4 linked regions of the Astyanax mexicanus genome follow. The protein of the gene in region 2 interacts with the protein of the main gene of each other region in a pairwise test. Links are inferred from orthologs where the notes say so. Each region holds a gene or a part of one and is shown on either strand. Other genes may lie near its edges. The genes, in order: arnt2, dtx2, sec22a and glyctk.

Region 1 (8,104 bases), on a different chromosome or scaffold from region 2:
CCAACTGTAAACAAACAGTAAATGTGTTTCCTCAGTTTTAGGCCAAGACAGACTGAAGCAGGCAGTTCTTAACTAAACGAATACTCCAGACAGGCAGGCAGGCCTAAGACCACCTTCCACCAGGAATCAACAGGCACAGCCAGCAAGCCCCGCTAATCCCAAGCTCCGGCTTCTATAGGCACAAAGCAAAAACCAGCCACCAGCTGGACCATAATGGAGATCCGAGCAGAGCCAAGCAGAGCGGCGCAGAGCTGATCACGTAGTGCATTGTGGTAAATGTATTCAGACCCTGATTTGCATTAGAGGACTTTAGAGAGCAGCTCGCACTGCAGAGCTGAAGTGCATAAAGTGTGGGTGGGCAATACAATGATATTTTAACATATTGTGATACATTTTGTAATCATGAAACACAATAAGTGTGTGCCATTTCATATCATACGCATAGGCAATGATATCGCCCAAAATCCTGACATGATGAAAAAAATCTATATTGTGACATTGCGATAGGTTTCTTAAGAAAAAGCAGCTTGTTCTGTAATTATTTTGATATTTAATGTATTTATTTTGAATTGTTTGTTTCAGGTTTACATGCACTAAATACAGCTCTGTAAAAAAAAATAATAAGAGACCACTTCAGTTTTTGAATCAGTTTCTCTGATTTTTCTATTTATAGGTATATGTTTGAGTAGACAACCTTTCTCCCAAATTCCAAATAAAAATATTATAAATTTAGTGCATTTTTTTTACAGAAAATGAGAAAGCGTTCAGACCTCAAATAACACAAATAAAACAAGTTTAATTTAATAAAGTTTTAAGAATACAGAAATCAATATTTGTTGGAACAACCCTGGTTTTTAATTACAGATTTTATGCATCTTGGCATCATGTTCTCCTCCACCAGTCTTGCACACTGCTTTTGGATAACTTTATGCTGCTTTACTCCTGGTGCAAAAATTCAAGCAGTTCAGCTTGGTTTGATGGCTTGGGATCATCCATCTTCCTCTTGATTATTTTCCAGAGGTTTTCAATTTGGTAAAATTAAAGAAAATCTTTAATTTTAAGTGGCCTCTTATTTTTTCCAGAGCTGTGTGTTGTATTTGTAGTGTATGTAGAATATGAAGTTTTGTGGTAGATATTTTGTTTTTGTTACACTGTTTTCATTTACACAAAATTGTTTTGATGTAGTAGAATATTCCTGAAAATAATAAAAAATCAATGTTTTGCCATATTGCCAAGAATATAGTCATCACAAACATACCCAAATAATATTGTGATTTTATTCTACTCTATTCATACACAATTTATTGTGACACAGAAATCTTGTGATAATGACCACATTGTGTCTTGAAAACTGTCTATTATTTCCTGTGCACTTTTAAAGACATTTTTTTTATATACATTTATTTTTGGACCACATTGCCTACTCCTAGAACACAATACACTTTAACAAGCATATAGTGTATATTGTCAGTGCTTAAAAGTACACCATGTGACTGTATATTTGATTACAGCAAAGTGTAGCAAACTGTAATAAACGTTACTGGAATATGCATATAAATCTGTGTAACTACGGCATTTTGTGTGCATGTCAAAATCTCATAAATACTGTCCATAATGAAAATATCTTTACATATCGAGACCCAATCGTTTTACTTTATTTCTTTATTGAGTTTGACGATTTAGCTAAACCAACAAGTTTGACCATGCTGGTTCAGCAATGAGTCCAAACATGACAAACATGTTCAAGTTCTTCGACCACCAAGATCAACATGTTTTAGCCTTAACCAGACCAATCCAGACAACTATAAATATGATGAAGCTTGGGCTTTCTGGTTCATTAGCATAATCCATGTTACCAAGCTAGACAACAAGCATGACCAATCTGGATGACCAGTAAAAACAGCAAAACCAGCAAAAACTGGTTGAGCAACACGAGCAACATTACCAATTTGAAGAACCAGTATAACTAAGCTTGATCACCAAGTCCAAGCTATATGACCAGCATAAACAGGGTGGGCAACCAGCATGACCAAGCTTGACAATGAATGCAGGCAGGTTCTTCAAAAAAAAACAAGCTGGTTGCCCATTTAGACTAAAGTTGGGTGACCAGCATTACCAGCAATACCAACCAAGTCCAAAGTGGTTGACCACCAATACCTAATCATGACTAAAATAAAACACCTTCGACTGACCAGCATAGCCAACATGACCAAGCTAGCTGACCATCAAGACCACGTTAATCAAATAGTATGACCAAGCTTGGCAAATATGACCAAGCAGGTCAACCAACATTACCAGCAAGCCAAGATGGCTAATAGAACACCCAGACCAATATGACCAAGCTGGTGGACCAACAAAACCATGCTGGTTGCCCATCAAGATCATGACCTAGCAGTACAACTTGACTACCAGACCCAACATGATCAACCAGCATGGTCTTGTTTGGCAACCAACATGGTCATGTTGGATCTGGTAGTTGTGAGCCTCAAAACCAACATGCCCATGCTCGTTGCCCAACAAGACCAACATGATGACCATGCTGGATGACCACCAAGACCAAAATGACCATGTTATAACCAACCATTACCAAAATCAACTGCAACATATGGTCGACAAGCATCAACAGCTTGGCAAACATCAAACCCATCACACACCATTATAATTCAGACCTGGTTAACCATCTAGCCAAGCTTACCAGTACAGGGAACGTTCTCCTCTGGATAATCAGCTTACCAACCATTAAAGATCATCTCAGAGCCTGTGAGAGCAGTGATCAGCTGAAGCTGGTGTTAGTGTGGATGTTAAAGCAGGGCTGGCACAGCGAGGAAGAGGAGGTGATGAAGGATCAGGAGCAGGAGGAGAAACAGGAGGAGGAGGAGGAGGAGGAGGGGTGATGCTCCCTCTTCACCCACCGATCCTTTCTTTTGTTACCGGGAAAACGTCACTCGCGCAGGAGCACCGGAGCCAGTCTCCCCCGATCAAACCCTCGATAATCAAAGATCAGACTTACCGGAGGGGTTCACCGCGGCGGGGGTCGCCATGCTCCGCTGCTCGCCGGAGAAAAACGGACACAACAATAATAACAGCAGCGGCGGCGGCGTCGGTAAGCCCGGGGATCTGGACGGTGGTGACGCACGCAGCGAGTGGCGAGCTCCGGGCCAGCAGCTCGAGCCGCCCGATCGCGGGGCGGAGGGTGTAGGAGGGGCGGGCGGGTGTTTACCGCGGGCTGTGTGGGTTGATGGCCGTGCCGCCCTGCTGTACGGAGCCCTGGCTCTGCTGCTGCGGAGCTTCGCTACAGAAAAAATAACGCAAGATGTCTGAAAGGTGCGGAAACACCGCGAGACTTCAGCCTGCATACATTACCGCGCGCCCTGCTGGGCATGCGCTCATTACACACAAGCGCGCGCGCGCAGCTCCGCGCGGGACAGCTATAGTGCAGCTTTTAGAGAATGTAAGAAAGAACAGTTAAATACATTTTTAATCAATTTACTAATTAATACAGTTCAAAACACAAAAATAAGATTAGGTAACGGGTTTGGTGTAGGTTTGAATGTGTTAAAAATATATAAATATATCTAAAATCACTCAATCAGATTTTTTTTGTTTAAGTACAAATATATTAACACAATCGTGTTTGGATCACATTTCTTTTATTTACTTATGAAAACATGTTTGATATATGTTTTAATTTGATAAAATATTTTTATCTAAATAAAAATATATATGTTTAGTAGCACAAAATATATATTTAGCAAAAATATTTTATTTTATTTTACAAAGATCTACTATTTATATACTTAGCCCCACTATTATAGCTTAGCAGCACTACTACAATGCTGATTGATTTACTTACAAAAATATATCAAATTTTAATATATTTTAAAATTAAATTAATTTGAAAAAAAACACATATGCACACATATTAATTAATTAATAAAACAAATTCTAAAGAAAAAAAATGTTTGCTCACAAACAATTATTGTTTTTTAACAAAGCAAAAAACAAGAAAAATTAATTCTGTGTTGAAAAAAGTGCATAGTCAAAAATTGTTAATTTACTTCTGAAAATGAACATGCATTATATATTTAGTAAGCAAAAGCCAAAATTCGCCAATAATGTTAGATTAAATTTATTTTACATAGATATATGATTTATTTTCTAAGCACTACTTAAATGATTTTTAGAGCACAAATCTTTCATTCACTTACAAAAATCTATCAAATTATTTTTAATTATAAAATGATAAATAAATACTCGCATATATAGGTTTATATTAATATATAAAGTATATAAATAAATTTTTAGTGCAACATTTAGAGCACAGTTGCCATTTCTTTTTTTTTTTACAATTTGGAATTTTAAAGGTTGAAATAAGCAAATTTAAAGTAAAACAAAATCTTTATTTACAAAGCAAACACTTGAATTATTTTGGTGATAGTTGTAAAAACCATACTTATTCATTTTCTAATAAAAAATGATGGCCAATTCACTGTCATTTGCAACTTTAGAGAACTTTAAATAATATTATTAATTTAATTAGCAGTATGTGTTAAATTCATTTATTGCGAAATTGTTATTTATTTATAAAACGGCATGTTTTTAATAAAAATAAATTATTTTCTACAAACAATTATAATTTACTTAGTAAGTAAAATATTTTATATGTGCACGTGTTTATATTCTGCTCATTTTTATTTTCTCTGTAAATTTTTGTTTTTATTTTATTTACTCAGCATACTGTATATGTTATTGACATGTAACTCAGATTCAAGCTGTCTTGTCAGTCCAGACTTTGAAAGTCTGCCCACAATGAACTCTATTACACACACTAAAGACTCCACCAACACTAGACTAGACCTCCTGGACATTGCTGATCATGTGACGTTTCAGCGTTCTAACTCACCAAGCTTCTAATTACACACACCTGGTCCTATTAGTATAAATACCCCCCTGTTTCTGTTTCTTTGGCTTTGTGGCCCAGTATTAAATCTAGTTCTATTTCTTCTACTGTGTGGTTCATTTGTTTATTGCACTTATGTTTCAGACTCAGTTCTCTATTTCTTACTCCTCTGACTATCCCTGTAAGTTAGTTTTCTTTATTAATAAACTTTGTGTTTGGTTAATTACCCCAAAACTTAACCTTAAACTCTACACAAACCTAAAACTTACCTTTTTAAATCTAAATCTTAAATCTAGTCCTGGTCTTGGTCCTAATAATAACATTAACCACTGTAGAGAATAAGCAGATAGTTTGTTACCAATTTTAAAATGTACATTCATTCTACCATTTATGGTGCTAAACTTTAAAGCAGAGTTTTAAACTCTTAAACTCCACTTTAGGCTCATCAAGTTCAGACAGAAGAGGGCTCTTTTGGATTTGGAGGCCAAGGACACCTGATCCAAGACAATTTAAACTGTATTTCCACAGGGCTTTCCTCATTAATCTGCTGCTGTAATCCAGTCAGATGTATTCCATGAATAGACCCTTATTGAGGTCATTATCCTACAGAATCCACAGGCGCTCTTTTAGTCTGCTTTTAGTTACTTCCAGCGAGTTTAGCAGAGCATCTGCGTGTGTGTGATGTTTAATACGCCACATCACAGAAAGAGGAAAGGGCTTCTGATGGTGTAAAAAACTCATTGAACCCAAAATTCTATAAATGACTGAAATGTTTGTCTGACCAGCTTCTGTACCACAGTCCTGCTCTGTGCTTATTACAGAGTCTGCTGTTTGTTCCAGGCTTGTGGTCAGCTCTATATAAACTGAAACATCTCACTGGCTGCCATTCCCCGTTATGCCCCAGTGACCTTCAAAGTGGAAATTTTAATGTGTGCTTTATAATACAACCTCAAAGCCAAAGCAGGAATCATTATAATAAATGCAAAACTAAGTGTTTCTGTAACATTTACTTCATATTTTTTTGGATTGCAGACTAAAGTATAGACCAAAGATATGTTGTGTTTTTTTTCTGGTGAACTTGATAATATTTGTTAATATATATATATATAAAAAACTAATATTTTTTTAAGCATTTAGGTGCTCTTATCTGGGGTGATGTTAACTAACTGTGGTGTCTAAGGCTGGTAACTCTGGTGAACTTATCCAGTGCAACAGAGGTAACTCTTGTTCTATTCTTCCTTCCCTCTGGTGTTCCTGATGAGAGCCAGTTTTATCATAAAGTTTCTGATGGTCTTTTTGACTGCGCTCGAGCATACGTTCCAAAGTTGTTGAAATGTTTCGGATTGACTGACCCTCACTTCTTAAAGTCTTAACGTTTTTTTTGCCGTAATCTAAATTAGAATATTACTTCAATAGAGCTATTTACTGTATACCAGTAACTCTACCTCTTTACAACTCTACAACTGATGCTGTCAAACATTAAACACGTTAAGAGACAAGAAATTCAAGTCATCAACTCTTGATAAGTTCAGCACAGCTGTTAACTGAATGCTATTCCAGCCAATATGCACAAAGCTGTCATCTAAGCAAGGGGTGCTATTGTGAAGAATCTAAAATATAAAACATGTTTGTTTACAAACATAATATCATAGTTTGGATATATTTTAAAATAATGAAAAAACCTTAATATATGACTGAAAAGTTATGATGTAAGACAATATTCCTAATATACATTTTGAATGAGATTTGCCTATTTGTTATTTCTCAGGTGGCATGCGGCTTAGTGGTTATCATGTCTGCCTTCCAGCACTTGGGCCCTGGGTTCAAGTCCCTATCTGGGTGGAGTTTCATCTTTTCCTCGTTTCTACATGTTTCCAAAGACACTATCAGTCAAATTGGATACTCTGAATTGCCCAGAAAATGGATATTCTTAATTTTATTCCCTATTTTATTAGTACTTTGCTTTAGATAAGATAATGTCAGATATCTATATTTTTGTGTTAAAAATATAAAACAACAAAGGAGAAAGTAAAGTGTGTGAACTAATTTGAGATTTAATCTGAAGAAGAGGCTTTTCAGCTGAATATGGTTTGTGGTTGTGTTGGTGCTTATATATAAATATAGTTCTGGGAAAAAAAAGAGACCACTTAAAAATGATGAGTTTCTTTGATTTTATCAAATTGAAAACCTCTGGAATATAATCAAGAGGAAGATGGATGATCACAAGCCATCAAACCAAACTGAACTGCTTGATTGTTTTTGCACCAGGAGTAAAGGCATAAAGTTATCCAAAAGCAGTGTGTAAGACTGGTGGAGGAGATCATGCCAAGATGCATGAAAACTGTGATTAAAACCAGGGTTATTGCAACAAATATTGATTTCTGAACTCTTAAAACTTTATAAATATATATATATTTTTATTTCTACTATTTCTCAGTTTCTGCAAATTAATTCTGTAAATGACAATATTTTTATTTGGAATTTGGGAGAAATGTTGTCCATAGTTTATAGAATAAAACAACTCAACTCTTTTTACTCAAACATATACCTATAAATAGAAAGTCTCTGAAGTGGTCTCTTATTTTTTTCCATAGCTATGTATATTGTACAATCTATGTAATGTTAAAAAGATATTAAAACAATGTTGCAAAAGTCAACTTTGATTATTATTTCAAAATCAAAACATAATGCAACATGGAATTGACTTTAATATGATATTAATTCAGCTGTGAATGACATTTTAAAATGTTGAAATGCTGGCTGGATGTATATAACTGTATTTACTTCTTATCTTATGTAATCCATGTAACAAATAATTAAGTCTTAAAATGAGTTATTTGCAAAACAAGGCTCTTTCCACTATTAATTCTGTACTTTTAGCTCCTCTACATCCAATTCTGCCACGCCTTCATTGGATTGTTCACAGTAAAAGCCTTAATGTTGCATTAATTCCTACATAGCTGTTCAGAACAGGCTTAATGGAATGTAACTCTGGAGGAGAAACTTGCTCTGTGTAGCAGAGCTAATTTAACAGCGATGGTTTTAGTGCATATAGCCGGGCTTGCTGCAGTGTTAATGGCTCACATTAGTTCCTTTGGTTTAGCCCAACAGGAGGAGGTAGTCGCATTTATTAGCTCTTTTACGGTGGGTGTTTTGAGGACTGCAGTACTGCCCCATTAGATTATACGCACCCCATTAGTCCAA
Region 2 (8,870 bases):
GACCAGAACTTGTGACTCTGATAATGCCCTTTGTTTGCTCAGATACAGTATGTATGACATCTACTAAATACCCTAATCTTCCTGTTTGAATCTGAAACCTATTTCCTGGTATTATTTTCCTTTCTCTCATCCTGTTCAGTCTGCACAATACACAGGTGTCAAAAGCCCCCACCATTCCACACCCAGAATAAAAACAGCAAAAAGAGAACTGTAAAACATGACTGGGGCACCAGACTCACAGATTTAATGGAAAGGAAAATTATTAAAGACTTCATGGAAAATTCAGCATTGTGATTTCTGATGTGTATTAGCTCAGTTTCTTTTTGAGGGTCTTAACGGTCACTATAATAATATTAATATCAGGGAAAAGAAGACATAAGTACTGACATAATATCAATGTTTGTGAAATAATAACTAAAGTACATATGTTTTTTTTTTATAATTCTTTGAGCTGGAATGTAATAGTTACAAGTCAGAAAAAACAGAGATATCACAAATAAACTAAATAAGATTAAGCATTAGACATTTATTTAAGTGAATGGAAATTACAACACACTCCCTAATTTAACTGAGTTGAAGTAATGGTATCGTTTGAAAATACCTAACAATAACCTCAGCTGAGATTGAACTTTACATTACATTTCAATGCATTAGCATTTTTTATGTTTAAAAACTTGACACTTAGCAACATATAATTTGCTCATTATTACTTTAAATAGACTAAATTGGACTAATTTTACTAGACAATAACAATTGTCACCTGCCATACATGCTGCATCCAATAAACAAACTTGAAACAAACTTCTTAAGTCTTGAGAGAGTTATGAAGCACTACTTATAGATTTTTGTTAAACATTCAGTGGTGTACAAGAAACAGTGATGAGCCAACAGATAAATGTATCAACCCTGTTAGTCAGCAAATTCTTGATGGCAGTGGAAACAATATGGATAAAAGACAAGGAAAAATGTAACCGTTACTAATAGTCTATGTTACAGTGTTTAATGAACAGCATAGTCTTTTGCATGATGTATGTGTGATTATATGAGGTAGTGGTTAACACACTCCCCACAAGGGTAAATAACTAAAATGTGCAGAACAGCGGTCCCATGACCAAGCCTGAGAACCATCATCAATAATGATTTTAAGCCCTTTAACCTTCATCTTACCACAACTTTAATATTGATTTTGTTATACAGCTCTGGAAAGAAATTAAGAGACCACTTCATTTTCTGAATAAGTTTCTCAGTTTGCTATTTATAGGTATATGTTTGAGTAAAATGAACATTGTTGTTTTATTCTATAAACTACGGACAATATTTCTCCCAAATTCCAAATAAAAATATTGTCATTTAGAGCATTTATTTGCAGACATGGGACATGAGACATGGCTGAAATAACAAAAAAAGATACCTCAAACAATGCAAAGAAACCAGTTTTAAGAGTTCAAAAATCTATATTTGATGGAATTTATTTTTTTTATTTGCAGTTTGATGCATCTTGGTATGTTCTCCTAGACCTGTCTTACACACTGCTTTTGGATAACCTTATGCCACTGGTGCAAAAATACAAGCAGTTCAGCTTGGTTTGATGGCTTGTGATCATCCATCTTCCTCTTGATTATATTTCAGAGGTTTTCAATTTGGTAAAATCAAAGAACTTGTCATTTTAAGTGGTCTCTTATTTGTCCAGAGCTGTAGTTTGCAAGACAGGGGAAAAATAGTCTTTAGCCACCCAACACCTGATCCAACAAGTGAGCTTAGTAGAAACCTATTATTGAGTTAAACGTGGCTTGTTAAAGCCGATGAACCAGTGAACCAGTAAAATAAACAGGGCAGTGGGTCTCAAGGACCAGTGGTAAAGAAACACTGCTTTAGACGTTCTCCAAAGTCTTAGAGTTGGGGACCACTAGTTTAAATTAACAAACATGACAACACAAACACACAGAACCACATTGTATGTTTGCGAGCTCCTGACTTACCAGTGTCTTGCCGAAACTGTTTTAGGCTCGGGATGTCGATGATATAGGCTGCCAGGCTGGGGTCGGTCTGGCCTAGGGAGATGCTAGTGGCGGCGGGCCCACCTGCCCTGGCCCCCCGCTGCTGCTGAAGGCATTGCTCGATGTAGCAGCTCACCTGGCCACTGTAAGGCCGCCAATAACCTAGGTCGTCCTGCCATTCCCACACCACCACCATGGGCTGCGCCTGGCCGGGTATACCAGAGGCCGAGGCGGTGGAGGAGGAGGAGAAGAGCGACGGCCCGTTCCTGGAGCCATTCACGCCGGAGGCAGAAAAGCCAGAAGCCGTGGCCATCCTAGTTAGTTAGTTAGTTAGTTAGCTAACCTGGCTTGCTAGGAGGACCTCGGCGTACTTATTTATTTAGTTAACTTAATAGCTAGGTTAGCTGAAACACACACACATACACAAATGGTGGTGTCACTTGCTAGCTAGATAACTAACCCCAGCGACAGCGAGCTAGCCTAAACTGCACTAGGGTAACCTAGCTAGCCAGCTAACTAACTAAGCTAAGCTACATAGACTGCTGCCTCTGAGCTAACTAGCTAGGTTAGCTAGTTAGTTAACTGAAAACACACACACAAATGTTAGTGTCACTTGCTAGCTAATCCCTGCGATAGCAAGCTAGCATAAACTACAGCTAAGCAGTACATTGACTAACTGTTAAACTAGGTTAACTAACTAATTACATAAACTGCTGCTGCTGTTGGTTAGGTAGCTAGTAAATACTTGTCAACCAAACGTATTAAGTCTCTCCATAGGGGCTGACTGGCGTACAAGCTAAGCTAACTAGCTAGCTAGCTACCAAGTTCGACGAATTGAACTGATAACCTAGCTACCGCTAACTGCCTAACTAAAACCGGGCTCGTTCGTCCGGTTGCTAAGCAAAACCAACAACTAGCTTAGCGAGCTACAAACAAATAACTTAAATTAACCCTAGCTATTTAACTTAAGCTGAAACGAGTCGTGCGAGTCTGCATCTTCATCCGCCAGCTGATAGCTAGCTACTTAGCTAGCATAGCTATCTGTCTAGCTTCGGCTGTCTAGCTTACAGCTCGTTACTACGGCTCCGATGTTGTGAAGCTAACGCTAAGCCATTTTTAAAGCTCCAGGAGGCCGAACAGCGAATAAACGGTTAAAACTAAGCTAAGCCAGGATGCAGTAAAACAAACCACGTCCTTGTCTCTGGTAGTGTCGTCTTTATCGTCTTCTAAAACGCCTTAATTCTTCCACTGAACGAAGCCCCCCTCTCACCCATCCGGCTGCTCGCCCTGCCGTCTCTGTGCAGAGTCCAGCGACCAAACACAACAAACCAACGGAAACCAAAACCACCAGCCAACCGCAGGGTCCCCTCCACTGCTCTCATCACAGAAAACGACACAGTAAACTGGATGGAATTCAGCTTAACCCGTAAAACAGTTACCTGTTACTACGTGTCCAGTATTTGTTTGATGCATTGAGCTATTTAGTGTAAAGCTGTATGAATGAGTATAAATGTATGAGTCCGTTATTTGAGCTTTGAAAAATATTGTAGCTAAGAAAGTAGAGCGTTAATACAATTAAGAGTCAGTTTGTTTATATAATATTTTTAAAGGCACTCATGTTCAGCTTCTATTAAAGCTATAAATAAATCAAGATTAAATAAATGTATCAAAATATCTATTAATAACAAAAACTATCAGATTTTTACATTTTGGTTTCTCAATTCAAACGCTGCAAGACTTTTATTTTGAAACATTATCCTGACAGTTTTTGTGTCTGACAAAAAAATACTCATCACATTTGCATTTATTAAATGTAAAATAAATTAAATCGAATCAAATAATGGTCCTACAAATCTAGAAACAGTGTTATTTAAAAAAGAAAAAAAAATCCAACATATAGCTATATAACTTATGTTAACTTTATCTCAGATGTACAGCAGCTTGGAGTGTTTTGCTACCAAGTCTGTTTTCTAGATGACAGATAATTCTACAGATAGATGATAAACATTTGTAAACTATATCTTTTTTTATGTCTTTTTAGCTGAAGTAGTCTCTAGTTTGATACAGTACTTTGTGTAGAGAATGTACAGAATGTTCTTTCATGTGTTTCTTAGTCTTAACCAGCAGGTGGAGACAGATGAATGATTTTAATGGACAGGATGCAAATACAAATGCATGAGTATATCTGCAGTTTACCATAATCCTTAAAATGACCTTAAATTAAAGTAAATATTTTAAGCACTGAGAGGCAAAAACAAATCTGTTAAATAAATAAAGCGTAGCTTGTATTATACCATCGAACCATGAAAGCACTACAACACTCAAAAGTAATGAACGCAAGGCAACACATTTTATTTGAAAGGCCTAAATGGCATTAAGGTACAGCATATAAATACTGGTAATTCCAGAGACAGTCCTTACAGAATAACATTATACCATTCTTTCCTTTACATACAATACATTCATGATGTTGTCTCCATCAAATTTTATCTTACTTGTCCTCCACGTTCTATGAACGTCGGAGCGACTTACACCACTACAATAATGATAAAGTCTTTCATTGGAATATAAGTTAGTGCTATTGTGTTAGGATGCTCCACTGTAGGACCATGAACCCCTGAAGCGAAAAGAAGAAGAAGAAGAAGAAGAAAAAAAATAAAATAAAAAACGGAATATATCAGTAGCTAACTGTTTTAGTGTTATCAGTCATGGCATTCAGCACTTGATGCATTGTGCCGATTTGTTTACATTCCCTGCATATACATGTTTCTTTACTTTTATTTAAATAAATAAATAAATAATAATACAAACATTTAGCTAGGCATAAGAACCAGTTACTACGAGAGTAGTACGCATGTGTACGTCCTCAGCACCAGTCGAGGTTTTGCATCCTATGGATAATGAATCTTGTCTGGGAATAATGTTTCCCAACAGAATCCATCACTTGTGTCCTCAGTGTGGGTGTCAGTCAACCATTATTGTTTCAAAGGCCTTTAAAAAGAAGGCAACCCTACACTGGCAGTCACTTTGAATAGCTCAAATGAGCTTGATAATGGTTTTTGATGTGTTTCCATGTGTTTCAGGGGATCTATCACTTCTCTCACTTAAAGTAATACTTAAACAAAAAATCTCCTTTACAACTGATCTGAATCTTGTTAAACCACAAAATGCTTGGTAGCCCAGTTGTGCTTCTTTAGTTTAGAACTGGAACTATGAGGTTTACATTGCTAACCTAAAACAGGGAAAATCAATATTCACCCACAATTTTCCAATAAAAATGCACGCTCACACACGTCGCTCAACCCCACATATAAATGGAATTTCCTGCCAGCAAGTTATTCACCTTATTCAAGCGTTAAAACGATATGTTCCTCATATATAGAAATGTTTTAGAATTTCTTTTTTCCAGATTTTTTAAATGTGTTGTAACAGACAAATATTATAAGCTCTTATGTGTAACTGAGCATTTGCTTATGACTGCCAGTGTATGATGCAAAGCATTGTTCACCAAACATAAAAAAATAAAATAAAAATAAAACAAAATGAAAACACTCCTTTTACAAGCAGCCTCTCCAGAAAAATAAAGCACTGACAAACTGGGAAGTAACGATTCCAGGTTACTGCACAGCAAATTCACGTCTCAGCACTTGCCGTCCTGAAACTGTAATGAGAAACTCCTTGTACTGTTTGTCGTCACGCTCAAAGAGTTTGTGATTGCCAGCATACACAAAGGTCCCCCGTCACACTGCGAGATCAACCACAGCACTCCAAAAACAGCTGATTTTTATAACGGATATCAGTCTGACCACGTCCTCCCCGCAGGATTCCTCTTCCTCTTCTGAGGGGCTTTGAGGTGGTCCACTAGTATTTTACCTTTCCTGGAACTTGGACATTCACTCCGCTGTAGTCCACCATGTACATGGGCCATTGCTACAGGAAGAGAACAACAGAGTATCAGACACTTAAACAAAAATCTAACTAGTTTCATATAATTAATGAATAAATAAATCCATATACATCAACATTTTATGTTAAACATTTTATTTAGAGGGCTGAAATTAGCCAGCACAATGATCTTACCTGTGCCATTGTACTCAAGCCAAGCTTACTTGTTAATTCTGTCCATATACAGAAGTAGCTAGCTGCTTTGCAATAAATAGCACTAAATGCTATGCATATTTTTGATCCAATCATGTAGTTTCACCTATAAGGTGTTATACTGATTGTGTGGAACTACAGGTACAATAATAATAATAATATAAAAAATAAAATGTTACTGATACTTAGAGCATGTAACTCTTTGAAGGAAGGTGATGGAGAAAATCTGGTGGGTGAACTACTAACATCACTGACTTATAATGTAGAATTAAATATTCTGGTACAAGCAGGGCTGTTTACTGGCTGTTTTCCATACCATCACTGGAATCTGGTTGGCTGGAGCAGCAGGGTCGGCTCCTGAGGGAGCGGTCGCTTGACTGCTTTCCAGGACCCGCTTGCGTTTACGTCTATTGACTGACACTTCCTTCCCTTCTGCAGGAAAATGAGCAAAATAACATAGCATGAATTTAAAGTTTTGTGCAATGGTTTGTTGATTTTTGAAGTGAAAACAAAAAGGATAGAGATATAAATAGGATCTATAGAGAATCTGTTAAGTGAACAATTACATTTGTAAAGAAAAATAATAATTACATGCAATTTGACTAGGTGCATCCAAAAACAAACAAGGCTGTATACAGGAGGGATTCCAATATTTGATAAATAATCAAATCAAGTAAGGTAAACCTACCTGTATTGCTGGTCTGGGGACAAAGCTGTACAAAAGGCCTAAACAGAAAAAAGTTTTTTTTTAGATGTATGAAATGTATCAAATGTACTACACACATGCTTTCACCTAAACAAGACATTAAAGCAGCTTAGTCCAATAAGTACTGTATAGTGTAGTAGCAAAAACAGATGATTTTCCCAAATGTTTGGCAACTGTTTAAAATGAACGACAAAAACATAATTAAGGACACCTTTCAATACACTTTTAATAATAATAAAAAAAAAAACAATCAATAAAAAACAAATATAACCATTGTTGATAAAGTTATTCCTTTAATTTATTTTTTAGAAATTAACCTATTCATAAAACATAATATGTAGAGTATTTCTGTTCAAACTACTGGCCAAACCAAAACCAATTGAATTAAATGTAAATGTAGTTGTTTTTATGTTATATTTGTATATTTATTGTTTTTATACAAAGTGATCATGATCATATGGCAAAACATTAGTATGAAACTTTATAGCAGTGTGGAGGACTTGTTACCCAACCCAGTCCCTTCTAGCTGTCTCTCAGTCAGAAGTCTGAATTAGGGACGATATCATTATGATATAATTATTTTAATATTAACTGTATAAATAATAAATTTTTTGGTATATTGCATCTTTACATACAAACACTGAAAAACTACATATTGCACTATGAAGATCACATGAAATGCAGCACATTTAGAATAAAAATCTTAAATTGAATTGTGCATCAGAATTTTTTTTGTATGGATCATGATATAATATTGCTATTGCCCACATAATCCTTGCTTCTAAACATTATCCAAATAGCTTAAACAATTGCTGACTTACTGTAATGGGGTTTTGATATTGATGGTGATGTCATCTCGAGCCTGAAGGATCTTCTCTAATCGAACTATGTCATAGGTGTTGGGGTTCCTGAAGTGGATATCATCTGGAAGTCCACAAACCTCCAGTGATTCCGGACTGGCCCGAATCAGCTTGTATGGAACAACAACAGATCGATCCAGGCCTAGAGCTTCTCCTGAATACAAGATGATGGAAGTAATGGAATAAATGGGACAGGAACTTGCAACTTTCTGATGAAAAGGCCAATGCTTAGACAGTTGCATCATACTAGAGGTCATAATAAAGATTAGGGGTACACTGGGCACTTCACAATATGTTGCCCACGATAACGATGATATCACAATACTGTGCGATTCTGCAATATTTGGTATATAGTAACACAATTCCCTACGATACCTTTCAGCAAGAGGATAAAATACTCTTAAATAAGTAAATACCACAAAATTATGGAGTTGTTTCAGTTTTAAACAATTTGACAACCACTCTGAATTAATGTACAACAAAGTGGCCAGCTTAGCTTGCTTGTGTCTCTTTAACACACATAGACACACACATACACTTTCAAGTGTAGCATTATTCCGAACTTGTAAAACTGTTTTTTTGCTACACTAAAATCTTTTTGAACTGTGTAACATAAGCTTACTGAAAAATAAAAAAATAAAACTGAAATACCAAATCAAAAATCGATATTTGACACCATGTATCAATAACACATCTCAGATGGAACCAATAAGATATACTTCCATAAGGCAAATATTACTTCTAAGTTATAAGAGCATATACTGTGTAAAAAAGATGAATAATAGAATCTCCACTGACCGTATTTCTTGTTAAACAGTTCTTTCACTTGTTCCCGTAAAATGACTTTCTCTCCCATGCGACTGACCTCTTCTTCATCTATTAAAAAATGAATAAAAGACGCTATCAGTGCTTCACAATACTGAGCTATAGAATTTCTATACAGAATGAAAAGAGAATGAGGTCATGAATCAGAGGTCAGATAAAAATCTCACCAGTTATTGAGGCATATGCCTTCTTTAATAAGGTGATTCTTCGTGGTGCTAACAAAGAGAACAAATGTAGAAAACCATATTCATTATATTCTTAACAGTGAACTGTTATAATACACATAGAAAAGAGATCATGGTACATACCTGGTTTGGGGATAAGTCCTTGGAAAGGCCTGTAAAGAGAAAAAAGGCAGTGAAGCTATATTCATTCTGTGTGGTG
Region 3 (8,051 bases), on a different chromosome or scaffold from region 2:
TGCTGTTTATTCTGACTGAGCGGCTTCGTACCCAGAAAAAGGGGAGGTGTCACTAGAGAACTTCTTATTGCTTTCCATTAAATTCACTTACAAGGACACAAGTTTACATCTTATATTGAAAGAGTTGGGACTTAGGAAAACTCATTTTACAGAGAAACTTTGCTGCTGACTTCAGAAGGCTGTGCCTGAAATACGTGTAGTTTTCAAACTCTAAGTTTGGGCAAATAATATCTAAATACTTAAACCTGACACTACTCTAACAAATATAATCTTGCATTAGGAAAATAACCAAAATAATCGTCATGGTTATTTAGTTTTTTTTCTTTTTGTATATACTGTGTTTACTTTTTTTGTTTATTCTGTTAATGCCATTTTTCTTTTAATACTTATAAACCTAAAAATAACAAACCGGACTATGCGCAATAATATTAAACCAAGTGCAATAATAATGTGCAATACTTCTTTTGCTGGATCTACTGTTTTTTTGTATATTCTCCATTTTTGTTTATTTCCTTTCCTCTGGTCCTTCTGTGTATTATTTGTGTACTGTAATGATGCTGCTGGAGTTTAAATGTTCCTGGGATAATCTTTATATATACATCTATTAATCTATCCATCCACCCACCCAGTTATCCATCAATCAATCTCTCTATCATCCATCCATCCATCCATTCATCAATCAATCAATCAATCTCTTTCTCTATTATCCATCCATCCATCCATCTCAATATTCATCCATCCATATATCTATCCATCCATCATCTACCATCTATCCATCCATCTATCTAGATTATATTGATTTATATGTTGTAAATGGCAGTGTTGGCATTACTGGAAGATATTGCCAATGGCCAAATTTATTGAGAGTGTGTTTACTCTGATTATTGGGATTTCTTTGGCCCAAGATGCCTCTTATGGCATCTTATCTTCACCATTTTTCTAGTAAGAGTATTCCAAGGCCTGTTTATACTAATTAGCATATTATAATCTGCATAACTGAGGGCGGAGACAAGGAGGAGTGTTGTGTTCCTGCAGGTGCGCTCAATATGTCGTTGATTGTGATGTACTAAGAGAGAGTGCGTGGCATTCTGCTTACATATGGTTTGATACATCTGGAGTTTTATAAGCGTACGGTACTTGTACGCTATATTTTTGTAGAAATTTTACCCAAGTCTTAGTACATGAGGCCCCAGAATCTCAGAGTCAGCGGAACACTGTTGAATACAGTTTTTTTCTACACCCTTAAACGAGAACACACAACAGTGCATTGGGATGCATACAGATAGTAATGAATCCTTACTTGACATTGTACTGTCCAGTCTTGAGAGAGCAGCGGTCAGGGAACTGGCTGAGTTTTTTGGACAGACCCTTGAGGTGCTTCTTGGTCTCCTGCAGTCCTTTGTCCTGCTCATAGTCAGTGGAGGCAGAGAGAGGCAGGCCGTCCCTCACCCGCACCACTGAGGCAAACAGGACCATAGACATCTTACAGCAGGATCCTGCAGGAGTGTAGGAGAGCATTCCATTATTTCTGAGCATTTGAATGTAGTTGTCACCATAGAGTTAATTGGTAATCCAGAATCCAGAAATAAACTATTTGTTTGGGCAGTTTACTTGTTGGTAACAAAGCTGTTTAACCAGCTCTCGACTGCTATAGTGTATGCATTTGATTTTTTGATCATGCTTGGACATGCTGGTTATCCAGCTTGGCCATGTGGATCATGCTTGCAGACCATATTAAACATCAATGAGAACATCATATGAGAACATACACTTTGGCTGGTAAACTAAATGTAACCCTCTGTGGCATTAGTTTTTTTGGGAGGATAAAAGCTTGGGATTCCCTGTGAATATGTCAAATATATATTTTTGACTTTTGATAACAAACTGATCAACAGAATCAGATGTTTTACAGCAAGTGTTCTAGCTCTATAATGCTGCCCAAAAGAAAAAACAACTTAGTAAACACATTAAAAAAGGTATGAAATTGTGTTCGTTGCCTAAGGGCAAAACTCTGCCATAGAAGGTTAATCAGTTTGAGCTGGTCATGTTGTTTTCCTCAGCAGGAAACATAGACAACTAACTAGCATTAATTTACTGGATAAGCATGAGAAATGTATAGTATTTGTAGTATTGAATATTAATATATTTAATCTACTGCCAAGCAGTTTATCTAGCTAGCTAGTTCCTTAGTTAGTTAATTCACTGAATAAGCCTGATAAATTTACAACATTTGAAGTGATGATTATTAATATAATTTTTAATCTACCATCTAGTAGAGAGGGTGGGTTGTGTGTGTGTATTTTTGTTGTGTTTCTCTGTTATGATGATGTATGTTTCATATTATCTTTCACAATAAACAAATTAAGCATAATCTTCCATCCCACCATTTATCTGATAAATTTGCAGCATTTGAAATGTTGAATATTAATATATTTAATCTACTGCCTAGCAGCTTATACAGCTTGTTAGTTAGTTAATTGAACTAACTCACTGGGTAAGCCTGATAGATTTTTAGCATTTGTAGTGTTGAATATTAATATATTTTGCAAATCTACTGCCTAGCACCTTATCTAACTAGTTAGTTAGATAGCTGGCCTAATTCACTGGATAAGCCTAATACATTTACAGTATTTGAAGTTTTTAGTAATTTAATCTACTACCTGGGAATTTATCTAGCTAGTTAGTTAGTTAGTTAGTTAGTTACTTGGTTAATTGGTTAGTTAGTTAGTTAATTCACTGGATAAGCGTGATTAATTTACAGCATTTTACAGCAGTTTATCTAACTAGCTGATTAGTTAGTTAGTTAGTTAGATAGTGTGTAAGTAAATAAGTAAGTTGGTTAATCTAATTCAGTGGATAAGCCTGACAGATTTAAAGCATTTGCAGTGATAAATATTAGCATATTTTGCTAATCTACTGCATATCAGCTTATCTTACTAGTTAGTTAGCTAGTCTAATTCACTGGATAAAGCCTGTTAAACTTACAGCAATTGTAGTGTTGAATATTAATATATTCAATCTACTGTCTGGGAGTTTATCTAGCTAGATAGTTAGCTATCATTACTTGCTGTAAACTACACAGTCATCAAGCTGAACATCTCGAAATTAACTAACCTAGCACACCAAGCTGTTACAAACCAGAGCTAATTAACCTAATTAGCCTAATTAGCTAGCTATCTCTCCAGCATCTGGCAGCTGTTGCCCACATGAGATAAACAAACACAGGCTCTTTCAGATACACCTCTGTCTAACCTAAATCATGTAGTATAATGTGTGTGTCTACGGTCACTGTGTATAAACAGAGACTGTTGTTAGCTGGTTAGCTGCTTAGCTATAACTGTCTGCTGGGTGACAGCAGCTCAAACCTGAGCCCAGACTCTCACAAACAGGCCGAACCAGGACCAGAACCCGCCCCCGGCAGCAGCAGGCCCGCGTCCCGCACTGACGGTACTCACTTCGGCACCGGTAACGGCTGGAGTCCCGACTTTAGCATCATTCTGTCCGCTTGTTTGTGTCTGTCAGCTCCGCCGCGGGAGGACGCAGCCATACACCAGCGCTGACGTGTCTGAGCCAAGAGCATTATGGGTAAGAGGAGCAGCAGTAGCAGCATTAAGAGCGGCTCTGTCCCAAACAACACAACGCTCCCTACCTAGACAATATTCTGAGGCATATTCACAGTAGGCCTATATAGCATTTAAAATAACCCTTTTATATAAAAAAGTAAATAAAACATTACAATGATACAATAAAATGTAGTGGATTATATAATTATTTCATAAATATGTGATGGTTCAATTTAGGAAACTGTAAACATTTAGCATTGTTCTGACTAGCACCATAACCTGACACACACATGACGGATATTTTTTTAAAGACCAGCATATCTAGCTATATCTTAATAAAGGACAGTAAATTTAACATTACAGTGATGCAATGTAAATATTTAACACATAATAATAATTAATGAACATTTATGAATTTTTTTTTTTAAATATGAATAGAGTTTAAAAACTAACAGCTATCAGCTACAAAACTTTACACAAAAAGTCTAGATTTTCAAAAGACCAATATCATTAACTTTAAACAAAAATGCAATATATGCAATTTTATGTTTGTTCTACCTCAGTTCTTTTTTTGTGTTCAGTGAGAGAAATCTAATCTGTTTTGGGCTTGGACAAGTGCATTAAAGTGTGATATGATAAGCCTTTGATTTTCATGTTTTATAGAACTCCAAATACTTGTCTTATTTTTTTGTATTATAACTGGAACTGTAAATAATGAATACATCATCAGTGTTACATTGTTACAGTGTTAATACATTATCAGTGTTCTTCCAGACTTTTGTCATATCATTTGATTACAGTTGCAGTTATTTCCACCTCTGCAGCGCCCTCATAAGTTCAACTATGTTATAGGCGAAGATGACGTTTTTGTGTGCTTTGGTAAATGCACACTCACAATATGCAAATCAATCTATCAATAACCCCACCCCCCTGGAGATGTCCAACAATCTGCGTCTCACCCATAGACTGTATATAAGTATTGACAGAACGACAGTTATTGAAAATTATACCAAAATTAGAGAGGCGTTTTATGAGCGACATTATTAGGCGATAACGCACTGTAACCGAAGCTCTTCATGTATTACTCCGCCACATACAGGTAACCTAGCAACGATTACCAGCCAAATACAATCCAAATGCGATGTCATTAAACACCACTGGGGGGCGCTGGATTCCATAGGCACAGTGAAGGAACGCCATGTCTCCAATAGGGGGCGCAGGCAAAGACGCGGTGCCACACAAATAAATAAATCCAAATTTATTCAAAAATAGACATTATTACACACATTATTAGCCACTAATATCAGGCTAAGAGTTGTTGTTATTATTATATTAAAAGTGTATATATTTTCCAGTTAATATAGGGTATTTTAATCTGAATGTAAGGTGGACTCTTGTAATACTGCAGGTCTTACCGCTGGGGGGCGCCGAAGTAAACAAAACTTTAATTCTTAAAAAACATTTTCTTTCAGTCAAACGAGCGCTGGACCTCTAATCCACACAGATTTCCCTCCTAAAAAAATTTATTTGGGTGAGGGTAAAGCTCTTACGTTTAATTACAGTAACGTTACGCTTAGATTTCCACAATTGTGACTAAAATGGACGATAATGCAGAGCTTACAGCGCAGCTAAAGTAGTAATGGAACTATTTTAACTCGCGGAGTGTTTATAAACAAACCGATCGCATTTTCTCATCCGGTTTAATTCAAAATCTTTCAATAAACAGTGATAATGGAAATGTGGTATAATCGCAATAATACACTCAAGGTTCGTGCTATAACGTGTCATATTGGCACTGCTGTGCTGATCTTCGGCACTCGGCCTTTGTTATAGCACTCCCTCTGGTGTATTATTGCTTAAGTGAAGCCACTACATCTCTTACGCCCTCTGGTGGCTGGCTCCAGTACAACTTTTAACCCCGCCTATTTCCATTCAATTGAAGTTTTATAGGAGTAATTCCGTGATATTTAAAGGGTTGTAGCATGTGGTGATTGATTGACAGCTGAGGGCAAGTTGATTGATAGGTCGCCTGAGAGTGTGAACGCGCACCGCCACTGTGGCTCTTTCTGACATTTGGATTTTACTTTAAAAATGAGATATCTGAAGTAAAGCAATGGCTTATTCTGCAGTTAACTTATGTAACAGACCCTCAGGCAAACGTTCTCTGCAGTTTTTTCCGTATGTGGATAATTTCCCTCCATCAATTAATTTGTATTCATACTTTGTTCTTTGTTCTTGTGTATTTTTTTTATTTAGGTTAGGTTTTTAACCTAGCATTAACTACTTAACGCTAGCTAACTAGTTAACTAGAGTAGCCAACTCAGGTTAGCAGTTAAATAACAAGTTTTTTGGTGAAAATGCCAGTTTTGGTGAACGGTGAAGGCACTGGCCAGTGCCACGCCAGTTCTGGCTCCAATTTGCCTCTACTGCGTGAGCGCACACAAGATGGCATGTTCCATTTCGGCCATATTTTGGCTTCAAAATGCCATAATGAGAGTGAATGGGGACGCCCTGTCCATATTTATATACAGGCTATGGTCTCACTGCTATTAGAGGCACACTGCTCAGCCCAATCATCTCTCCCTTCTGCCCCGCCCTGTCCCTAAACCCATACATCACCCAATGCCCCTCCCAAACTACTCCTCTGATTTGTAGGCATTTTTCAAATTTGAGCTGAGGGTGGAGTCAGCTAGAACAGGTGGTTTAGTTACTCTTTGAAATATTTGTAACATTTGTAAAACATCAGAGCCCTCATTATTGGACTGTGGAGTGGCTGATGGCCCCCCACAATAGAAGCTGACCTGTCTCGTGCTCTCTCGGCTGGGTGCAATTAAATACTCACAGCAATGTTCAAAGCATCTAGTGCAAAGTCTCTATTGGAGTAGAGGCTTTTACTGCAAAAAAAACATGAGGCATTTGTTTGATAAATACCACTTATTTCAGAAGAAACACTGGATGAGAAAATGTCCACAAAAATTTGGACATGCTGTGGACCACTTTGGAAGGAAAAGATGTTTTTTTCTCTCTTCTGTTGGCCTGGATCCTCAAGCAAGAGTTTGATTATTATCTTACTTACTGGTGACATCTGGTACTTGAGTTTTCTACAGCAGGCTGTTTCCTAAAGAAGCAGATGATATCATTATAGCAAATTAAATTACTGAAGTATTTACTCATGTGGTAGACGCTGTAACGACTTGTTTGCATTGCTTTTTGTGTGTGTTTTAGCTTGATTTATTATGCTTGACAGGCTTTTGAAATAGATTTTATCATCCTTAGGCTGCATTATAGTGAGAGAAGGAGAGAATGAGAGATAATCATTGATTATGTAACCATTGATATGCTCTTTTCTGAAATATTTTTACTTAATCAGTTTGCAATATGTTTTAATGAGAATAAAATAGTTCAATACAAACTGTGAGTTAACATAAGGACTTACAGTTAATACAATGTAAAAGTAAATGTAAATGTAAATCCTGAGTTTGAAACATCTGCTCTGTATTCTAGGGCTGATCAGTAGAACTGAATGTCCTTCTCTTGGACAAGTCCATTTAAGAGCATAAAGTTAAATGCATTTAGAATTTCTACCCACAGTACAGAGACTGACCGATAAATGTAGGACAGCATACAAATGTACTTTTCAGAAGAAGTGTGTCAGATGGTAAAACAGTGATATATTTGCTTATAGAGACAGTGAAGGGATCCAGGGGTCATAGCAGGCACATCATATTCATAGAGCTGTGATCAGCAGGTTCAAATCCTGGTCATGCAGCTTGCCATCAGCTGCCGGAGCCCTGAGAGAGCACAATTGGCCTTGTTCTATCCCCTCATCTCTCCTAGGGTGATGTTGATCAGCACAAGGCGTCTGTGAGCTGATGTATCAGAACTAAGTCGCTGCGCTTTCCTCCAAGCACGCTGTTATGCTACTCAGCAATGCTGCATTAGCAGCAGATGGAAAAGAGGCAGTGGCTGATTTTACATGTATCGGAATATTTTTTGGAATTTGGGAGAAATATTGTCTGTAGTTTATAAAATAAAACAACAATTTTCATTTTACTTAAACATAAACCTATAAATAGCAAAATCAGAGAAACTGATTCAGATCATATGCATTGTGCAGCCGTGTTTTAAGAGAGAAACTCTTAGTTTCCTCTTAATGTCATAGAAAGTCTGGTGGTTCGTTGTGAATCTGTATAATCTGACCCACAGTGTCAACAAAGAAAAACTGTAAGACAGTTTAAATGAAGCAGATGGATATAAAATCAATAAGCAGACTATAATAAACACACTATGTGTGTTTTCCCCATAGAACCAGTTTCTCTATTCATAATTTCAATTTTCTGTTGATTTTTAATCTCACAAAACCCTAGATGAATTTGAAGAAGACCAGACAAAGCCAACGCAGACATGCTCACACCACATAACCCCCTAGAGAAGAATAGAGCAGGACAAGCAGGCAAGTCGTACCTCTTTCATCACAAAACTCAATTA
Region 4 (8,075 bases), on a different chromosome or scaffold from region 2:
TTGTTTTTCTTCTTATGCATGGAAATCACTGCGTGATTATTAAAGTTTTCTAGACTATTTATTACTTTGCATGATTTTTCTACACCAATAACAATTAAATTCTGTCCCACATAGCAAGATATTTCATTGGGTCCGCAGTTTCTGGTACTAGTATATTAATTGACACCACTAATTTAAATATAAATGCATTTTACATTTATATACATGCAATATATAGTGTATCTTAAAAGAACAAGTGTGATTAATCAAAGTTAATCACAGAATATTGTCGTGATTAATCTGATTACATTTTTTAATCGATAGACAAATGTATGTTATTTATTTTGAATCTAAATGTTGTGATCAGATTTCCATATGGGTCTGTTCATCAACACAGAAGCATTGTGATTGAAAGACTTACTGTTTCCCATGATGCTGCAGTGTTTCCTGAATACCGTGAGGAACACTAATCAGACCCTGAACCAGATGATCTCCCACAATCCTCTCTGCCTCCGCCGCCATCCCCAGCACAGCTTTCCCGCAGCCCACCAGGTGCAGATTATTACTGAGCCTGAAACTGCGTCCGTCCACGAGCAGCTCGTCCCCGCGGCGCTGCAGCCCCCTGCGGACCACGCTGTCCGGCTGCACCCCCTCCACCGCCGCCGCGAACACCACCCTCGCTCGCTCCTCCAGAGACGACATCCTCCTGACCCGGGCAGCGGCCGGTCCTCCTGCCCACAGGGGGCGCCAGTGATGAACAGAGCGGGAGAGGCTTAGCACTCGAGCCATGGACCAATCAGATCATCCACACCGGAACAGCAGAGGAGCCACCGAACACCTGGAATAAAAGAGGGATTAAAGCGTCACATTAATGTTAAAAGTTGGGGGCGCAAAAAAACTCGCTAGTTCAAATGCCGTTCATGCATCTTGCCAACGGCTGTCGGAGTCCTGAGAGTGCACAATTGGTCTTGCTCTCTCTCAGTGGGTACAGTACAGTAGATGGCGCTCTTTCCCCTCATCACTCCTAGGGTGATGTGGATCAGCACAAGGCTGCGTCTGTGAGCTGATGTATCAGAACCGAGTCACTGCGTTTTCCTCCGAGTGTTAGCGCTGTGATGCTACTCGGTGCTACATCAGCAGCTCAAAAAGAGGCAGAGTCTGACTTTACATGTGTCGGAGGAGGCGTGTGCTAGTCTTCTTAACCCTCCTGGTGTTGGAGAATCACTAGTGATTGCTAGGGGGAGTTCTAAAGAGTGGGTTGGGTAATTTGCCTTGTAAATTGGGAAGAAAATGGGATAAAATTAGAAATAAAAATATGTACATTGATCTTGAGCTTCATTTTTCTCCACAAGGAGTAACTGAAGAAAAAAAAAACAACACTTGAAAAGGTGAAAAATTAAGCTTGAGAACGATATGTTGCTCTGCACACACAACTTTTGACAAAAATTCGTACTGCATATTATACCACAGTTAGTTCCGACCCTGCAATGTGATTGGCTGAGAGGCGTTCTATGAGTTGTCGTTATCAGCCGGTAATGCACTGTAACCGAAGCTCTCTACGTATTACTCCGCCACATACAGGTAACCTAGCAACGATGCAGCGCTTACAAACCAAACAGCACTACAGCTACAAACAGAGCAACTATTTTAACTGATGGAGTTTTTATAACCAAACATATTTTCTCCTCTTGTTTAACTCTAAATCTTTTGATAAACAGCGATAATGGAACTGTGGTATAATCACAATAATGCACTCGAGTTTTGTGCTATACAGCAGGGCCAATATTACATGTTATAGCACTACCTCACATGTATTATTGCTTAATTATATCCCATGGTAAAAAAAAAAAACATCTGTACACAATAAAGCAAATGCTGAACTTCATGACTGGTGTTATATAATCAGAGAGCGTAAAAACATAAATATATACAATTGAAACTGAAATTGAAATAAACATATGAGTTTCTGACTTATGAGTCATCATGAAATGATCTTACTTACCAGCACAGCCTAGAATACAACACACACACACACCAGCACCAAAAACAAGTTAATCTATGTGCCTCTTCTTGAACCCCATTCCTCCAAACCTGTGTACTGTGTGAGTAATGATTAACTACAGCTGTCCATAGGGCAAAGAGGACAGTCTGGTCCTGTCTGGTCCAGTTCTGTTCTGTAATTTTAGAAAGAAGCCTAAAAGCACTTTTTGTAACAAAGTTTCAGATGTAAAAACTTCATCTTAACTTCTGAGATGAAAGAAAATATAGTATTTTACCCACAGCTGCTGATCTGGAAGAGAAATCAGAGGGTCAGCAGAAGATCATCAGGAAAAAACTCTGCAGAAATCCTGAGATTATCCAGTAAATCCTAAATACGAAGCTTGTTAGAAGATTTGGGTGAAAAGGGGAGTGTAGAACTGTAGAACTGAAGCGATTCAAAGAGTCGATTCACTGATTTCAAACAATTTGGGAGCAGGGAGTCTAATTCAAAGCACTGAACTCGATTCCAAACAACATCTCTATTATATCTCGTAAATCTGAGTGTATCTTAGATATGTAGGAGATTTGGGTACAGAGGGCTGGGCGCGATTCAAAAGAGTAGATTCACTTATTCCAAAAAGTGATTCGTAATATATATATTTTTTTGTTAACCTAGCTACTTTATGTTCTTTTAGCCTTTACTTTCGTCATATTATAATAGTTATATATTATACATATTATATACAGGACCAGTCAAAAGTTTGGATACGCCTTCTTATTCAATTCAATTTATTTTTTATTTTTGTCTTATTTTTCTACATTGTGAATATGAATAGTTCTACAATTCTACAATGTGAATAGTGATCCAGGCTGTGAACACACACAGAATCACATAGGAATTTAAACGTTTTAAACTAACAAAAATACTCTTATCTGGGGAGCTGGGAACTTGCGATTTCTGAGGCGACCCTGATGGGTGCCAGTTCCATCATTATAACATTTATTTCTTAAAATCATTTTTTTTTCTTTATTACTTGAGAAGTTCTTGCTTATCATAACATGAGATATTAGAACATTACTCAAATATTCACTATTCACTGTATACCTGTAACTCTACCTCTTCACTACTTTACTTTAACTGATGCTCTCAAACACTTTATTAAGAGACAAGAAATTCAAGTAATTAACTCTTGATGAGTTCAGCACAGCTGTTAACTGAAAGCCTGAATTTTAGGTGATTCTACCTCATAAAGCTAACTGAGAAAATTCAGCCAAAGAAGGAGAAGAATATAAAATATAAAATATATTCTGGTTTGTTTAGCACTTTTTTAAAACTAAATAATTCCATAAGTTTTTCATCATAGTTTGGATGCTTTTAGTATTAATCTACAATGCAGAACATTCTTAAATAACAATAATAGAGAAACACTTAATTCAAGGAGTGTACAAACTTTTACTGGTACTGTATATATTATATAACGTTTATTTTAGGAATCGACTCTTTAAATCGACTCACTAAAGCATCGGATCCGGGAATGAACAGAACTAGGAGTGGCTCTGCTGTAATTAGTAACAGAGCTAAACACAATATACTCACTCATCTGCGCCATCAGTGTGTAGCCTTTCCCTCGTTTACTGGTGATTTCTAAAGCTATTACTGTCCAATAAACACTGATATTAAAGTAAATACCCCAGCAATACCGAGAACACTATGTAAACAACCACACTTCCGGAGGATTTGCGGTTAATTTCAAAATAAAAGTCTTTATATTCTGAAAGTGATGCGTTGTCGGGTGTATGGCTTCAAAACAGTTTATGTAACTAAAATATCTTGAAGAATTCAATAATTCATTATTCAATAATTGATTAACCCCACATGTAACCACAAAGTCATTTATTTAAACAAAAAAAAAAACAGTTTTAGAGCTGCTTAACGTTGGTTAAAAAAAGCTATTTACATTTTATGTACAGTATCTTAATATATGTACAGTATCTTTAATTCTTTATTTTTTATAAATTTTAATATTTTAAGAAATATCTAGCTAGATATTGTTCCAAAAAAGCTGATTACGATGTGTTCATCCCCTTCTGAAAACATTCTGCACATATAGGCTATCTTTACAGATAAAAATTGACGTAAAGTAAAGATCATACATTTTGTATGTGTTTTTCTTTTTAAACTTTTTTGAACTTTATTTTATGTATGTAATCTCTTAATAAATAAAAAACACTGCACCCATTTTAAATTATAGGAAGGACTTTTTTTGTTGTTTTGAATTAGATTGGGTTTTTTTGTTAATGTAAATGTTTTATGGTTCTTTGTTTTTATTTAAATACTAAAAAAATATATATTGGACGTCCTTTATAATGGTGTGTTTTTGGAAATCACTAAATGAAAAGAAAAACAAATATACATTTTGGAGAATAAAGATGAAGGTACTTAGATGTGTGCACATATTGCTATTCTAGAGGAATTAAAGTGAAAAAAAGCAAAATACCTTAGACAGTAGAAAGAAAGAGAGCTTCTACAAAGGAGAATACCAACTTAAGTGTGTTTTCTGGGTGTGTTTAAACCACCAGAGTTCTGTATGGGTGCATATGGGGCAACTGAGCAAAATGTAATAAAAATAAGCTTTTAATTATTTTTTTATACTGACAAATGTTCTCATTTCTTTAACACAGAACAATATATAAAAAAACATTTTTGCATACATACTTGTTAAGCTTTTAAATTTAGAGCTCTGTCTGTATCTCCAGCATCAGATCACTAACTAGTCACAGTAGCTCACAGTAGCAGTAATGCTGCACCTTTACTGAAAAAAAAAAACAGTTTACTGTAGAAAATTAAAAAAATACAGGTAGGTTTTATTTCCTTTTTTAGCGAAATACTTTATTCAGATGTCTAAAACTAAAGGAACATTCTGGAAAAGTAGTTAATGTATATTGTTAATTAGAGTTTTTAGCTCTTTAGCTCCATTCACTCCTGTACATTTTGGTCTCCCTCGCGGGCGCCCTCTAGCGGTGGGCAGTGTTTTCTGATATAACGGCGGAGACAGTAAGTGGGCAGTGTCTCCATAAACCAGCTCTGATAACTTTTCCACTTGTAGTTACTTAAACTGGGCAGCAGATGGTAATATTACATAACATACTAAACATACAGCTTTATTCAGATATTATACCGTGTACAGCATTTTCAGAAAAAGAAAATAATTACACAAATGAAATCAAATGAATTAAATCAGATTTATTTACAGTCTCATAACATTAGTATTGGGTACAGGTGAGTGAAAAACAGTTGCAAAGTCCCTTTCAGTAGTAAAAACACAATAATATAAAAACAAAAAAATATAAATATACACATATAACTTATACATACACATGATTGCAATGTTTTAAAATACAGATGTTTACATTACTATTTAATAGGAGTAATGAAACTTCCAAGAAAAGAGAGAAATCCCCCTGGAGTCAGCAGCAATGCAGGCGACTGTACCATCCTGTACATGACATCATCATTCCTGGGTAATCAGAGACCCCCTGAGAGAGAGAGAGAGAGAGAGAGAGAGAGAGAGAGAGAGAGAGAGAGAGATCGTAGACATTTTTAGAAGCACTGTTACTATTTAAACAATGCAGGTGGAAGGAGTGAAAATAGACTGTTGGCAGGGTGTAAGATAGCAATGAACATCACAATGCAACTTGCGCAGGATGTCAGACTGTTGCTCTATTAACTAATTTAGTGACTTCTGAAGACTTTGAATTAATTGCACTAGATTTTATTTAGAGGTTTCAGAGTAAAAAGGGGGTTGAATACTTTTACACATCACACTTTTTTTAGAAATTTTATTTTGATTAAAATTTTGAAAACCATGCATTATATTTGTTCCACTTCACAATTATGTGCTACTTTGTGTTGCTATATCACTTAAAATCTAAAAATAAAATACATTTAAGTTTGTGGATGTTTAAGTTCAAGGGGTATGAACACTTTTGCAAGCCACTGTACAACATTTTCCATTAAAATCCTTTTTTTTTCACTTGTTCTTTGTGAAATACAGTAGGTTGTTTATGTAGTTGTATATGGATGATGCACGTGAAACTCTTCCTCAACCTCCATTATCTGCAGGAGCTAGTAAAAGAAAATATTCAGAATCAGGAAAAGCTTTGTGTCTATGCCAACCCGTGAATTAGTATTCAAGGCCCTTCCCACCTCGGCTCAGGCCCGCCCACAGGCAGAGCTGAAACCGAGCAGCGACGCCGTCTCATCAAATAAGAGCTAAATAACAGTGCTAGGAACAGCATGCAGTTCATTCCTGTGTTATTTGTGCGAATAACACATCAGTGTTTATATGCTTTACCCAGTAATTCAGAGCTAAGAAACAAATGGTGAGAATTAGTCTATGGAGGAAAAACACCAGCAGCCAAGTACAATTGAGATAGGTAGGTGTATGATTAGAACAGTTCTGTTTACACTAGTTAAAAGTGGATTTTTACTTTCTGGACCTGGACTACCCACCTCTTTGTGTAACTACAGGTTTAAATAGGATCTCCGGTGGATTTGGTGTTTTACAGAGACTCTAAGACTAGGTCAGTGGCTGAACTGAACTTAGCAGGGCATTATTACACATGTTGTAAAGTAACATATGACATTGTAAAGATTGTTATTAATGTAAAAAAATCTTTATTTTAAAAGGTTTCAAACTGGTGTCCTTCTCGCTGCTTCCTGGTGTCGCAGGGCTGTTATCCAATCAGTGGCTATATGTTTGCATGTATGAATATTGATGAGTAAGAGTCGAAATCCTATCGTCATATAGCATTCATTTATAGACCACAACTAGACATTTTAAAATTAAGGAAAAAACAATGGAATGAGACCTTTAATATTATTACATTCATAGGTACCATTAAACGTGACTATTTATTGCTCCACAAGGGATCCACTATTATTATGAGCCAAATTACAGTTTTGCTAAAAGTGTGAAACTCCTGTAGTCCTTTATTTGCTGTTGTGAAGTTCTGACTGTACCCTGCTTTCTTGTTTAGTCATGGATAATTGATGTACACTGCTTTATTCGCGGGTGGCTTTGGCGAGCAGATGGAGCGAGGTCACATTGCTGGCTGGCATTTCCATTTCAGAGTACCAGTGTCCCCTTCCTCACCTTCCTCACCCTCCCTCACCATCCTGCTTTCCCTCCTCCATCGTTCTTTCTCTTCTCTGGCCCTCACGGCGAGCTCGCGCTCTTTCTGTACTCCTTTAAAGCTGAATGTCAGAGATCGGCCAGCGATGGCCAGAGGAGCAGAGCGCTGTATCTCATGATTAAAGGCGAAATGAGGCGAAGTGGAGAGGGTGTTCCCTATCAATGACTTCTTCGCCTAAAGTTTCACAAAGGCTTTAAAAAGGAGACATTTTACTGTATTTTTTGCACTATAAGGCACAACGGATAATAAGGCACACTATCAATAAATATTTATTTTCTGGTCTATTTTTTATATTTATAAGGAGCACCGGATTATAAGGTGCACTGATGATTTTGGGGAAAATTAAAGGATCTTAAGTGCACCTTAAAGTGCAAAAAATACGATATACTGAACTCGCTTTTTGTGTGATTTTGTATTTCCACTTGGGTCTCGACTTCCCCTATAAACGCTCAACAAAAAAATCCATCTATCCATTTTCTGAGAATCAGCTGAAACAGTTTGGTGTCAGGAATCATTTGCTTCTATAAGCCGTTTGGATGCTCCTCCCTTAATTTTTAATTCCTTTAATTTTAGCTGCATTGAAAATGCTCTGTTTGTAGCTGCGCTGTTTGGCTTGTAAGCGCTGCATCATTGCTAGGTTACCTGTAGGGGGCGGAGTAATATATGGAGAGCTTCGGTTACAGTGCATTATCGGCTGATAGCGGTACTTATGGAATTACAGAGTCAGAACTAACTGTGGTATAATTGTGCTTTAATCAAACAGCAAATAAAATTGCAGGCCACTATGTGGTGCTACATGGAGCTGAGAAAACCCTGGTCTACATGCTTTCATTATTCTCCCTCTCTCTCTCTTTCTTTCTTTTTCTCTCCATGAGACGATTTAGCTCCCGTTCACCATGAATGACTAAGATGTATCTCCT

Evidence for each region.
Region 1: the proteins of dtx2 (region 2) and arnt2 interact in binary tests that used the Homo sapiens proteins (3 or more experiments, as listed by UniProt). The link is inferred for Astyanax mexicanus from reciprocal best matches to the Homo sapiens genes DTX2 and ARNT2.
Region 3: the proteins of dtx2 (region 2) and sec22a interact in binary tests that used the Homo sapiens proteins (3 or more experiments, as listed by UniProt). The two-hybrid records come from large-scale screens. The link is inferred for Astyanax mexicanus from reciprocal best matches to the Homo sapiens genes DTX2 and SEC22A.
Region 4: the proteins of dtx2 (region 2) and glyctk interact in binary tests that used the Homo sapiens proteins (3 or more experiments, as listed by UniProt). The two-hybrid records come from large-scale screens. The link is inferred for Astyanax mexicanus from reciprocal best matches to the Homo sapiens genes DTX2 and GLYCTK.

Annotation. Positions count from the first base shown.
Region 1 is NC_064423.1:10,678,550-10,686,653, reverse strand, and holds the start of arnt2 (aryl hydrocarbon receptor nuclear translocator 2), read right to left. Parts: upstream 3,331-8,104; 5' UTR 3,042-3,330; coding exon 3,011-3,041; intron 2,803-3,010; exon of another isoform or gene 2,696-2,802; intron 1-2,695. UniProt on the Homo sapiens protein: Transcription factor that plays a role in the development of the hypothalamo-pituitary axis, postnatal brain growth, and visual and renal function. Specifically recognizes the xenobiotic response element (XRE).
Region 2 is NC_064408.1:27,941,984-27,950,853, reverse strand, and holds the start of dtx2 (probable E3 ubiquitin-protein ligase DTX2), read right to left. Parts: upstream 3,529-8,870; 5' UTR 2,311-3,528; coding exon 1,980-2,310; intron 1-1,979. Other genes in the region: gtf2ird1 (general transcription factor II-I repeat domain-containing protein 1), read right to left, coding at 5,859-5,927, 6,412-6,527, 6,784-6,821, 7,623-7,815, 8,460-8,537, 8,654-8,701, 8,795-8,823. UniProt on the Homo sapiens protein: Regulator of Notch signaling, a signaling pathway involved in cell-cell communications that regulates a broad spectrum of cell-fate determinations.
Region 3 is NC_064418.1:8,436,303-8,444,353, forward strand, and holds the start of sec22a (vesicle-trafficking protein SEC22a), read right to left. Parts: upstream 3,586-8,051; 5' UTR 3,456-3,585; intron 1,497-3,455; 5' UTR 1,483-1,496; coding exon 1,301-1,482; intron 1-1,300. UniProt on the Homo sapiens protein: May be involved in vesicle transport between the ER and the Golgi complex.
Region 4 is NC_064412.1:3,279,637-3,287,711, reverse strand, and holds the start of glyctk (glycerate kinase), read right to left. Parts: upstream 3,693-8,075; 5' UTR 3,557-3,692; intron 3,247-3,556; exon of another isoform or gene 2,348-3,246; 5' UTR 2,256-2,347; intron 2,227-2,255; exon of another isoform or gene 1,982-2,226; intron 818-1,981; 5' UTR 769-817; coding exon 401-768; intron 1-400.